Xenopus tropicalis: one gene and its partners. The protein of the gene in region 3 interacts with the protein of the main gene of each other region in a pairwise test. Links are inferred from orthologs where the notes say so. Each region holds a gene or a part of one and is shown on either strand. Other genes may lie near its edges. The genes, in order: znf346, tceanc and tarbp2.

The links.
Region 1: the proteins of tarbp2 (region 3) and znf346 interact in binary tests that used the Homo sapiens proteins (3 or more experiments, as listed by UniProt). The two-hybrid records come from large-scale screens. The link is inferred for Xenopus tropicalis from reciprocal best matches to the Homo sapiens genes TARBP2 and ZNF346.
Region 2: the proteins of tarbp2 (region 3) and tceanc interact in binary tests that used the Homo sapiens proteins (3 or more experiments, as listed by UniProt). The two-hybrid records come from large-scale screens. The link is inferred for Xenopus tropicalis from reciprocal best matches to the Homo sapiens genes TARBP2 and TCEANC.

The regions. Positions count from the first base shown.
Region 1 is NC_030679.2:46,420,515-46,425,071, forward strand, and holds the start of znf346 (zinc finger protein 346), read right to left. Parts: upstream 3,043-4,557; 5' UTR 2,897-3,042; coding exon 2,839-2,896; intron 1-2,838.
Region 2 is NC_030678.2:105,791,464-105,796,269, forward strand, and holds the start of tceanc (transcription elongation factor A N-terminal and central domain-containing protein), read right to left. Parts: upstream 3,184-4,806; 5' UTR 2,876-3,183; intron 1-2,875.
Region 3 is NC_030678.2:146,789,105-146,793,143, reverse strand, and holds part of tarbp2 (RISC-loading complex subunit tarbp2), read left to right. Parts: intron 1-1,640; exon of another isoform or gene 1,641-1,673; intron 1,674-2,443; coding exon of another isoform or gene 2,444-2,453; coding exon 2,454-2,613; coding exon of another isoform or gene 2,614-2,643; intron 2,644-3,370; coding exon 3,371-3,473; intron 3,474-4,039. UniProt on the Homo sapiens protein: Required for formation of the RNA induced silencing complex (RISC). Component of the RISC loading complex (RLC), also known as the micro-RNA (miRNA) loading complex (miRLC), which is composed of DICER1, AGO2 and TARBP2.

The DNA of each region.
Region 1 (4,557 bases), on a different chromosome or scaffold from region 3:
GTTCATGGAGGTGCCACATAAGACTGGCTATTAGGCAGCCTCTATGCACACTATCAGCTTACAGGGGGCTTTATTTGGTAGTACATCTTGTTTTTAGTCAACCAGAACTTGCCAGCAAGCCGAGAATTAAAACAAAAACACCTGGTTTGGGGGCACTGAGATCAACATCCAAGAGGTTGGTGATGTTGCTCACGAGCCACTGGTTGGGGATCACTGCTTTATACTAAGTCACATCTATTTAAGAAAACTCTCCAGGTTATTCTAAATTAAGGTAATGAAGAGATGACACAAAATTGCTATTGAATCTATCATGTTCCCATTAACTATCTCCACTTTTTTTGGGTTTGGCCGAACCCCTGAACCGAATCCTAATTAGCATATGGGGTAAAAATCCCCCACAACCATTTAACCCTTTCCGGATGCTAATTAGCATATGCTAATTTGGATTTGGTTTGGCCGGGGACTGCAGATTTAGCCAAAACCAAATCCTTCAAAAAAAAAAAAAAACAAAAAACAAAACAAAAAACCCTGGATTCCCTAAATTCCCTACAAGCCACTCTACAGTATAAACAGGTATGGCACCCATTACCCAGAATGCTTGGGACCTAGGGTTTTCCGAATAAGGGGTCTTTCCGTAATTCGGATCTCCTACCTTAAGTCTACTAAAAAAAAATATTTAAACAGTATTTAAACCCAATAGGATGGGTTTGCCTCCAAAAAGGATTAATTATACCTTAGTTGGGATCAAGTACAAGGTACTGTTTTATTATTACAGAAAAAAGGAAATCATTTTTAAAAATTCGAATTATTTGCATAAAATGGAGTCTACGGGAGATAGCCTTTCCGTAATTTGGAACTATCTGGATAATGGGTTTCCGGATAAGGGGTCCGATACCTGTACTACAAAAATGTTAAGCTGGAATTATTCACCAAACACAACCCCACTAGCTCTTTAGTGTGACAGTTTAAATGTAATACCCAATCAGTCTGTCAGCGTGAAAATAATGTCTGTGTCTTCCCTGGGTGATCATCAGGCAACCAATCAGTACCAACAGCCAGCATGTCCAGAGGTCTTCAGGCTTTCTGGGCTCAAGTCTTGCATTTCTGGCCGAAAAGCTGGACAGCAGCACCTCCACCCTCCAGTTCAATTTTACAGGTACAGGTATGGGACCCATTGTCCAAAGTGCTCGAGACCTGGCGTTTTCTGGATAAGAGGTCTTTCTGTAATTTGGATCTCCTATCTCAAGTCTACTAAAACAAAATTATTTAAACAGTATTTACACCCAATAGGATTGTTTTGGCTCTGTTCCCAATGGGTTTCCGGATAAGGGGTCCGATACCTGTACATCAAAGCACAGCATGTTTAACCTTCTACAGTAAGGGCTCTGGCACACAGGGAGATTAGTTGCCGCGTCAAATCTCCCTTGTCACGGGTGACTAATCTCCCCGAACTACCATCCCACCAGCGAAAATGTAAGTCACCGGTGGGATGGCACATGCAGCGCAGGCGATTTCGGCAAATCGCCTGCGTAGGTTCACTGGTGGGATGGTACTTTGGTACCAGTGTGCCAGAGCCCTAAGCCCAGGGTTTTGGAACCCTTACCTCTCCCAATGCCCCGGAGTGTGCACCCCAGTTATTTCACCAGAAAAACATTACACACACACAGCCACTATAAAGCAATGCACCATGAGCGTTTTTACAACATGATTCATCATCCAGCACTTTCATTGTCACATTTACCATGCTATGCCCATAGTGTTTGCAAAGAATTTTTCAACTAACAAAAAAAATAGTAATGTAAAAAAGATAAAAGCAGGGGACAAATAGTATATAAAATCCTGCAGAATGTGTGCAAAAGACAGAACTTTGCCCATTAATTGGCTGACGTGGCGTAATGTGTTTGTGCGCACTGTGAATCATATTATCCCTTAGTAATTAAAATGGCAATTTTCTTTTTAGTATTATCCAATGGCACAAACAACTAAAAACACACATTTTTACAAAAATGGTTTATTTAAATGAAACAGGGTTTTACATATGCATTGTTTTATACAATGTATTTTTATAGAAACCTGCATTGGGTGGGGGGTATAGTTTTCCTTAAATTATCAGCTGTCTTTTGCCTTTTTCCTGCCGTCAGATGGAGGGGGGTCACCGACCATCGCTGCCAAAAAACTGGTGCTCAGTGAAGCTACAATTTTGTTATTGTTTATTACTTGTCTTTCTCTTTAGGCCCCTACTTAATTAATCTTTTAGTGTCTCATTCAAATCACTGCCTGACTGACTGGTAAAATTTACCCAAATACCTGCTGAAATTCCATACTGAAGAGGTGTGGCAGAAATATGGATTAAAGTTGCCCCAACATTTTGGATGGGGAAAAAATAATAATAATCAGAAATAACCTGGGGAATGAGTAAACAGATTGACCCTGCGAGCAGGAAACATGGCAACTTTTTCCAGCAAGACGTAAAGCATATTTCTCCCCAGAAGTATATTAGAGAGCGTTGTGTTCTCAGACAACACTTTTGATAATGGAAAGAGCAACCCTTTGAAAATCAGAGAAGCGATCACCTTGGCTGCGTTCAAGCGATACAACTCATGCACAAAGTTGCGTGTTTTGGTCAATTTAGGGCGAGATTCAAACCATCAGATGTTATAAAGGAAATCTTTGTATCAGAGCAAAAACCCAAGGGCAACCTTTGCTTGTACGTCCCATAACTAAGCAGTCGCCAGGCCCACTGCCCCCAGACGCACACCCACTACACGCGTTCTATTCAGGTTTCCTGCTCCTCACTCAATCCCCTGAGCACAGCAGTAACTTTATATTTGTGCTGACCTGCTTCCTTTCCCACTGGCAACTCCACAGTATCACCGTCACCGAACTCGTCTGCCATATTCTTCCCAAGAAGAAGCCGGCACCGTGAGAAACTCACAAGAGCACACACACCGCGACACAGCGCCTGGCAACTGCGGCCAGAGCGGGTACGTGCAACTCTCGCGAAACGCGGGACTGCATGGGTTCTACGGCGAACTCTCGCGAGATTGCAAGGCGCTCGGTTCCTTATTCAAAACTAACGAAACTTTATTTTGCTTACCCGGAAGGAACAATCCAGGCCGATGAAACTTATTCGCGATTGGTGTATTTCAGGCTGCGGGAGAAGTTAAAATAGGTAACCCAAAGTCGTATTTATCTGTGCCGGGAAGAATGGTTTTGGTACAGAAGTCACAACGCTTTGTCATAATATATAAAACTGCCCTCGATATTAAGTGGAAGAATGGGCACCGAGTGACACAAGCGCTTCTGTAATGAGGCGAACAGAGACGCCACCTTGGCGGGCTCCCACTTCTGCCCAATGCTGACTGTATCTAATGTGGTTTTCGGGTGGCTTTTAGGTCTTCTCAACTGTGGGGGCAATATTCATTATTAATACGTTGCGTTACTGCGGGTGACCGGGTGAGGGCGTCAAATTAGGGCGGCCACTGAATCATTTATGTGTGTTGACATGTCAGAGTGTACCTTGCCAGAAGCCCTCTTACTGTTTATTAACCAGATTTTTGGCTCAGTTTACAATTGTGCTGCACCTCATGCCTATTTTTACCAAAGAAAAGGTAAATGATGGGGGGGGGAGGGGAAGGAGGCTACACAGTGTAGGTCCTGCAGTCGGTTGTGTATCAAGGGGTTACCTGTAAAAAAACAAAACAAAAAAGAAAACGTAGGCATGAACATGTACACATGTGGGTCGAGTCGGGTTGCGGGTCTGGGTCGGGTCCTGGTTTTTAAATATTGCTTCGCTCAGGATTCCAACTTAGGATCTGTGACCTTAAAGGGACTGTAACACCAAAAAATGAAAGTGTATAAAAGTAATTACTATATAATGTAATGCTGCCCTGTACTGGTACAACTGGTGTGTTTTCCTTAGAAAGACTACTATAGTTTATATAATAAAGCTTCTGTGTAGCCATGGGGGCAGCCATTTACAGGAGAAAAGGCACAGGTTACTTAGCAGATAACAGATAAAACCCCATTATATTCTACAAAGCTTATCTGTTATCTGCTATGTGCCTGTTCTCCTTTTTCCCAGCTTCAATGGCTGCCCCCGTGTCGACATAGCAGCTCATTTATATAAACTATAGTAGCGTTTCTGTTGCAAACTTACCAGTTTTACCAGCGCAGGGCAACTGTACATTATATTTTAATTACTTTAAAACACTTTCATTTTTTGGTGTCACTGTTCCTTTAATAGGAAGAAGGGCCAGAAACATCATTAACAGCTGAATCTCGTACCCACTGAGGAAAAATAAAACTATATCAAATATGACAGATTGTTCTTCCTGTGTCTTTGTGGGTTTCCATCTGGTGCAATAGTTTTTTCCACACTCGATTCTTCCCCTCAAAGAAAAAAAATAAAATAGAATGAACTTGGGCTTGAAGAAAGTGGGATTGAGACATAGGTCCAGTAAAGTACAAACTTGTTCTAGATTCAGCTTTGTTCTGCTGCTGGTGTTGTCTTGTTTCAGCCGTTTCCTCGCTGTTTTAATTGCCTCGGTCTTGGGT
Region 2 (4,806 bases), about 41 Mb from region 3:
GCATACTTGAAAAGCATAGTGTTAAAATGCTACATGCCCCTGCCCCTTTAAGTAAAGGTGGCCACACAAGGTAATATTTGTGAGGTTGCCTAACAAGGGAATCTTCCACCAATATGCCCTAGGGCAGGGGTCCCCAACCTTTTTTTACCTGTGAGCCAAATTCAAATTTAAAAACGTGGGGAGCAACACAAGCATAAAACATGTTCCTGGGATGCCAAATAAGGACTGTTATTGGCTATTTGGTAGCCCCTTATGGACCGGCAGCCTACAGGAGGCTCTGTTTGGCAGTACACCAGGTTTTTATGCAACCAAAACTTGACTCCAAGCCAGGAATTCAAAAATTAGCAACAAGTTGCTCACAAGCCACTGGTTGGGGATCACGGCCCTAGGACCAAACTATTGCATTACAATGTAGAGGATACGAAAAGTCGGAGCAAGGTCTGCATCAATAAGCCCCCACTCAGCAACTCCTGCAACAGAGGTATGTGACTAAGGTCCTATCGCTACAGTGCCCTCCATAATGTTTGGTACAAAGACACATTTTTCTTTGAATTGCCCCTCAGTGTAAAATTTTAAATCAATTCAGATGTGATCAATGTGCACATTCCAGACTTTACTTTAAAGTTATCTGCATACATTTAAGTTTGCTCGAGGTAGTATACAAGCGTTAGGGCTCTGGCACACGGGGAGATTAGTCGCCCGCGACAAATCTCCCTGTTCGCGGGCGACTAATCTCTCGAATTGCCATCCCACCGGTGACAATGTAAGTCGCCGGTGGGATGGCACACACGGCGGCGCGATTTCGGCAAATCGCTGAAAATACCTCGTGAGGCAACTTCGCCGATCTGCCGAAATCGCCTGCGAAGCGTGCCGTCCCACCGGCGACTTACATTCTCGCTGGTGGGATGGCAATTCGGGGAGATTAGTCGCCCGCGAACAGGGAGATTTGTCGCGGGCGACTAATCTCCCCGTGTGCCAGAGCCCTTAAAAACGCTCAATCATTATTGGCACATTTGTGTAGTACAGACCTCGAGCTACATGCCAATAAAGACTGAACGTTCCTCTTGCCATCACTCCGATACAGGTAAATCTTTGTCTAGTCTGTCAATAACACATTTTCCCAGAATTCTGTAGGCAAACTGTAATCTGGCCATTTTTGTGGCTAACTAGTTTGCCACACTGGTTTGCATCTTGCAGTGTAGCCTCTGTATTTCTGTTCATGATGTCTTCTGCAGATAGTAGTCTCTGACAAAGATACAGCTGCCTCCTGAAGAGTGTTTCTGATCTGTTGGACAGGTGTTTTAGGTGATTTTTCTTTACCATAGTGAGAATTTTTCTGTCATTAGCAGTGGAGGTCTTTCTCAGCCTACCAGTCCCTTTGCAATTACAGAGCACACCAGTACATTCCTTCTTCTGAATGATATTGCAGACAGTTGATTTTTGTAATCCTATGGTTTGACCAATGTCTCTAAGGGCTGTGACTCACGGGGAGATTAGTTGCGCCACAACAAATCTCCCTTGCCTTGAGCGGAAACTTTGGCGACTACGGCAAATCGCGCCACCGCATATGCCATCCTACCGGAGATTTACATTCTAACCAGTGGGATGGCATTGCGGGGAGATTAGTCGCCCGTGACAAGGGAGATTTGTTGTGGCGCGACTAATCTCCCCGTGTGTCACAGCCCTAAAGGCTACTAAACTCCAGAAAATATCCTGCCATAGACAATACTGAGAATTGCCTTTGCTAAAACACATGTAGAGACAATTATCAGTAAATGATCAGCATTGTCTATTTTAGTAGCCACAACAAGTAGCTGCTACTAGTAGCTCTGTGTGTCTTCACCCTAATGGTTTTATTCTTGTTTTTCAGCCTTATAATAGCTTCCTTGACTTTCATTAACATAAGCAAGCAAGGTATCTTATCCCTGCACTAATGAAGCAATAAAACACACCTGAGTTATCTCAAACACCTGTAAATCCAATCGTCCCAAACATTATGGTGCCCTGAAATGAGGGGGACTATGTATAAAAAGTGTTGTAACTTCTACATAGTAAAAACTAAAATACATGCAAATAACTTTCATTTTAAGTCTGGAATGTGCACTTTAATCATGTCTTAATTGCTTGATTTAAAATTATACACTGAGCAGCACAGGGGTAAATTTAAAAAATTTGGGTCTTTGTCCCAATCATTATGGAGGGCACTGTCCTTTTAATTCTGGCCCTGCATGTATAGGGTCCTTTGAAAGCCTCTCTAAGGGCTCTGGCACACGGGGAGATTAGTCGCCTGCGACAAATCTCCCTGTTCGCGGGCGACTAATCTCCCCGAAATGCCATCCCACCGGTGAAAATGTACATACGCAGCGGCGCGATTTCAGTGAAATTGCGAAAGTTGCCTTGAGAGGAAACTTCCGCAATTTCACTGAAATTGCGCGCCGCCGCGTATGCCATCCCACCGGCAATTTACATTTTCGCTGGTGGGATGGCATCACGGGGAGATTAGTCGCCCGCAAACAGGGAGATTTGGGCAAAGATAAGTCAGATAGCGATTGTGTATAAACACAGAATACAGAGTAATAACTGCGCTAGGAGTAAACAAATAAAAAGCAAGTAAAAGTCAGCTGCACCACAAATCGTGGATCCAATAGTCCACTTGTAAATAATAAAAGTTCCCCACAGGTGCGCTTGTTCCAGACACCTTCACAGCTCCTCCACGTCACAGCAATACTTTACAAAGTAGCCTTTTCATATATGCACCTCACAGTAAGTGGAGACAAACATGTATCACTTTTCTCCCTGTTCTAAAACAAATGGCCAGGGATCATGAAGCATGTACTGGATCGTGAACAATTTCCCTGCTACTGGATCTACTCACTGTGTCTCAGATTGCAAAGTGCATATCACGCCGTTTACTACTCCATATTCTCCCTCCGTGCTGATAACAAAGACTTCCTCCTGTCCTGAATTCCACAAGCGACCACGTGACTCCCTCTGGTCAATCACGTTGTCCCTTCTCTCCTGTGTGAGAGGAATGCAACAAAGCAAGGGGGGGTGGGAGGGGGAAGCGTGCAGAGGTAGGATTCAATCAGGCTGTGTAGTTATGCCCATAGGCGGATTTTCAATAAGGCTTGGGGAGGAACCTGCTTTGGCACCTTAAAACCTGGCTCTGTTTCTGCACTTCCCTGCAAATCTTCTCTGGGTTCTGCAGAAATCAGCTGTGCTCTGATTGGATCTTTGTTCTTGTGGATTCACCAATCAAAGCACAGCTTTCTGGACAGGCAGTAAAATTTACCAATCAAGGCTTAGATGCAGACAGGGATCGGGAAATTTTGCTGGAGGCAGTGCAGAATTGAAGACTAAAAAAAAAAGAATGTGCGGGCTGTAAACTTTACCCAAGAACCAACTTTGAACTTTTGCTGCAGTTTTCATCCCACAGATACTATACACAAGTACTATACATGTTCTAAAGACTGACCCACTAGCTGAAATTAAATTGGTTTTTGTCACCTGACATATATAATATCCCTATCCCCTACCCTAACAGATGGAGGGTAAGTTAACTTTTCCCCCCGACAAAGCTCATTGTGCTTTAATATATTTGTTATGGTTTTTTGCACTATTTTTCTTTTACCTTTGTCATTGTTTTTTTCATTTCTAGTTAGTTACAGTGGAGCCCATGCTGTGTATCAGTGCCAGTGTTATAGTGCCAGGGCCTGAATATCTGCCATCTGTACCCACTGCTCCTCATGGCATATAATGTGCTGGTTTTGTATATAAAGACTGCGTCTCACTGTATATAACGTGCTTGGGATGTCAGTACCTGCTGCCTCTCTCTATAAAGCTAACTTAAACACATCTAAAGGGGTGGTTCACTTTTAAGTTAACTTGTAGTATGTTATAGAATGGCCTATTCCTAGCAGCTTTGCAATTGGTCTTCCTAGTTAATCTTTTATAGTTTTTAAATAATTTGTCTTTCACTTCTGCCTCTTTCCAGCTTTCAAATGAGGGTCACTAACCAAAAAGTATTGCTCTGTGAAGCTACAGTTTTATTTTTCCATACAGGCCCCTAAACTATTCATATTCCCATCTCTTATTTAAACCACTACCTGGTAAATAAGACCCTAGCAACCAGATAGCTGCTGAAATACGAAATGGAGAGCTGCTGAACAATAAGCTAAATAACCGGAAAACCATTAAAAATAAAAGAGGACCAATTGCAAATTGTCTCAGAATATCAATGTCTACCTTATATTAAAAGTTAATTTAAAGGTGAACTACCCCTTGAAGCTAACTGATCACAAACATAAATGTATAGAGAACCCCTAACAGAAGTGCACGTATGAATGCTTTTACATCCTAAGCATTTTAGGGTTAAAAAAAGCACCCCCACCTGCACTTTTGCACAGTAACCCTGGAAGTCAGTGGCAAGAGGTAGTTGGGAGGTTAATTTTTTACACCAGCAGTGAATCCACTAAGTCTCACATTAGCTGTAGGTCAGACTCTGTCTTCAGCCTCCCCAAACAAAAAAGTCACCCTCCGCCTATGGTTATGCCAAAGAACATTTATTTGATCATAATAAAAGCCCAACGCGTCTCGTATGAAAATACTTTCTCAGGGGCATTATCAGAGGGAAATGCCGTCCCCATTATATTATGTCATCAATTAATTATGCAAATGATCTAAAAGTCAATCAAGTTTTATACACACAATAAATATCACTTCTAAAATGAGTTAAAAGATAAAAGAAAAATGAAAGTTCTTTCATTAAGACACAGAATGCTTCAGACAATATTACTAAAATTGTGA
Region 3 (4,039 bases):
TGTGCAACACCCAGGTACAGTTCTCTGACTTCAAATATTTTCCATCCAGACAGGCACTCAGACCAGCAATAAAGTTTTTGCCTATGAACTTTGTTCTTTGCAATCCAAAAAAGAATGACTTTGGCCAATGAACCCTTTACATAAAAGTTATTATTTATTATAGATATTGCCTTGTCACTGGCCTGATGTTGCGTCGAGTGCGTGTTTTCAGTCGCCTCAGTGCAGAACGTGTCCTGGGAGCGCAGAAGGCCCGTCACAGATATCTGCATAGGCGGAGGTGACTTTTTTGTTTGGGGAGGCTAAAGATGGCCCATACACAGACTGACCTACAGCTAATGTGACACTTAGTGGATTCACTGCTGGCATAAAAAGTTAACCTCCCAACTACCTCTTGCTGTTCCTACTGACTCCCAGGGATACTGTACAAAAGTGCGGGGGGGGGGGGAGTTGCTTTTTTTTACCCTAAAATGTTTAGAATGTAAAAGTATTCATACAGGCACTTCTGTTAGGGGATCTGCAAACATTTGTGTTTGTGATCAGTTAGCTTAAAGGGGTAGTTCGCATTCAATTCACTTTTATTTTTAATGGTTTTTCAGTTATTTAGCTTTTTGTTAAGCAGCTCTCCATTTGGTATTTCAGCAGCTATCTGGTTGCTAGGGTCTTATTTACCCTAACAACCAGGTAGTTGTTTAAACAAGAGATGGGAATATGAATAGTTAAGGGGCCTACTTGGAAAAATAAGTAATACAAAATTATAATAATAATAAAATTGTAGCCTCACAGAGCAATATTTTTTGGCCCCCATTTGAAATCTGTATAGAGGCAGAAGAGAGGCAAATTATTCAAAAAAATTAATTAGGAAGACCAATTGCAAAGTTGCTAGGAATAGGCCATTTTATAACATACTAAAGGTTAACTTAAAAGTGAACCACCCCTTTAGATGTGTTTATGTTAGTTTTATAGCAAGAAAGGCAGTGGGTACTGACTCCGCATTATATACAGTGAGACGCAGTCCTTATTTACAAAACCAGCACATTATATACAGTGAGAAGCAGTGGGTACTGATGGCAGATATAGTGCCAGGGCCTGAATAACACTGGCACTGATACACAACATTGGCTCCACTGTAACTAACTAGAAATGAACAAAACAATGACAAAAAAAAAATAGTAAGTGCAAAAAACAACAACAAATATATAAACACACAATGAGCTTTTTCAGAGGGAAAGAGTTAATTTACCCTCCATCTGTTAGGGTAGGGGATAGATTATAAATTATTATAGATGTCAGGTCAGGAAAAAAAAATTTAATGTCAGCTAGTGATTCTTTAGAACTGTATAGTACCTGGGTATAGTGCCTGGGTATAGTGCCTGGGTATAGTGCCTGGGTATAGTGCCTGGGTATAGTACCTGTGGGATGAAAACTGCAGCAAAAGTTGAGAGTTGGTTCTTAGGTAAAGTTACAGCTGCAGATTCTTCTTTTCAGTCTTCATTTCTGTTTCCAGTTTGCAAAATCTCCCGATCCCTGTGTGCATCTGTGCTCTGATTGGTCAATTTTACTGTCTGTCAAGAAAGCTGTGCTCTGATTGGAGAATCCACAAGAAGAAAGATCCAGTCGGAGCACAGCAAAACGGGCTTGCAAGGAACAAATTTCCAGCACAGTGCAGAAACGAAGTAAGGATTTTTTTTTTTTTGTTTTTTTAATGTGCCAAGCAGGTTTGGGGAGGCTTAGCCTCCCCTAGCCTTATGGAAAATCCACCTATGCGGAATCCCATGAGCCTAAGGTTGTCACTTAGTTTGTATTACTGGCCTGGCTGGTAAATATGCTGCTTGATTCCAATGTTATTAATAGGGGGAAAAAATCTAGGAAGGCCGGTATAAGACACGCCTCCAACTGTGCATCTTAAAATGATATTTTTGAGCCCGACACCCATCACCCTATGTACCTTTTTTTTTTTTCCAATTTAAAATGCATCTCCACAAAAGTCATTGCTTTCTAAAGTGAATGTAATTCTAAGCAACTTTACAGCATAAATTAATTATACAAAAGTTATCTGTAACTGTTATTGCAACTAAAAGCATTGTTTAACCCTTTCTGTTCTTTTGTTCTGACTCTTGAAACAGTGTAGCAACTGTCTCATCTCACTAGTCAATCCCATTGTTTCAGGAGTGCAGGGAATATATACGGATGGACATATACAGCTTTCAGTAGTGATTACATTTGCAAATAACTTATTTGTAATGAAAGTATATTGGAGTGCTGCTTAGGATTTTATTTTCCTTAATTTTGCAGTAGTTTATAGGTTAGAAGCCCATGCTTTTGTCCTTTGCCAGCAGAGGCTATAAGTGCTTTGGAGAGGCCATACTGACTGATGAGCGTGCTGGTTTGAGTTTTTTAGTGATGACTGAATGGCACCTAATTTCCGTGTTCTTTCTCTATGCAGTATTGAGCAGATGCTGGCATCGAGTCCTGGGAAGACCCCAATCAGCTTACTTCAGGAGTATGGGACTCGGGTAGGGAAGACTCCTGTGTATGACCTGCTTAAAGCCGAGGGACAAGCCCATCAACCCAACTTCACTTTTCGCGTATCTGTTGGAGACATCAACTGCACCGGTCAGTGCTCTGCGCCACCCAGTACTAGAGGTGAAATGCCCGCGTCACTGACATATTTCTTCTGTTCTGTAGTCCTCATTCTGTTTTCAAAGCTCCTACCCATCCAGATTTTGGTCCCATATGATTGCAGTGGCTATCTGATAAGCATTGTGATCGTTTTCATCTCAGCCGCATCTGTCTTGCTATTGCTATTGTACCAAATGTGAGACCTGCTCGCACTTGCCTTTCCTATTTCCTTTTAGTATCAGAAATATTTAAATGGTGCATGAGCTGAGCTGTGTTTTCCGATGGTCTTAGGCGACCCCTGTGAAAAGGTTCGACCCTCAAAGGGGTCCTGACCCACAGGTTGAGAACCGCTGCTTTAGTAGATTAGTTTAGCCTTACCAGAGGGAAGTATAGAAATACTGAGGGGCTCTATTCCAGAGGTTCAGCGCTCGCCATTTTCTTATTTTATTTTATTTTATTTAAGAATGCCCTCTTCTACTCCTTACACTTCTCTACTGGCTCCAGGCCAATGCAGATAAATAAGGGTTATTCAGCAGAGTAGAACTGGTTGTGCTGCTTTAATGTTATTCCATCTGGGGCTAGGGGAATTACAATCATTTCAGGGGGTCCTTATAACCCAGAAATTGTCAGAAATTAAATGCGTTAAGGTTCTCTGACGTTCCTTTGACCCCCTTAGCCCGGTCCCATGTGGGCCATGGGAGACCTGAATAGTATGACCTCCTCAGATCTGTTTTTTCTGTCTCCCTCACAGGTCAAGGACCTAGCAAAAAGGCTGCAAAGCACAAGGCAGCCGAGGTGGCGCTCTCACTGCTGAAAGGAGGGGACATGTTTGGAATGATGTGCGAGGAAAACAGGTGAGAACTTATTGCTAAATGTTTATATGCGGCAGAGTCACTTTAATTCTATCATGTAGATCTTTGAAAGTTGCCTGTATAAAGAAGCACAGCATAATTGCTTGCCTTCAGGAAAGCGGATTTGATTACTTGTGTGAATTTTGTGCGATAGTTGGAAAATACTACTCTGGCGTTTGGGATAAGTAGGGGCAGCAGGCAAGTTGGATTTCAATAGCAGATATGCTTAAATTACTCTCAGCGTGCCTCAGCAGCCCTTAAAGGGATGGTCCACCTTTAGTTTAACTAACTAGTTGGATGTATATATTGATACTAAGACACTTTGCAATCGGGTTTCATTTTTTGTGGTATAGTAATTTAGCTTTTTGTTTGGCAGCTTTCCAGTTTGGTATTTCAGCAGCTATCTGGTTGCTATGGTCTCATTTACCCTAGCAACCTGTGATGTAAATGAGAGACTGGAATATGAATACGAAAAGGGCTGCATAGTAAGATAGGAAATAAAATTGCAAAGTTACAAGTGTGTGAATTGTAAATATGTTAGTTTTTATGGAAGTGGAAGAGATGTGGGT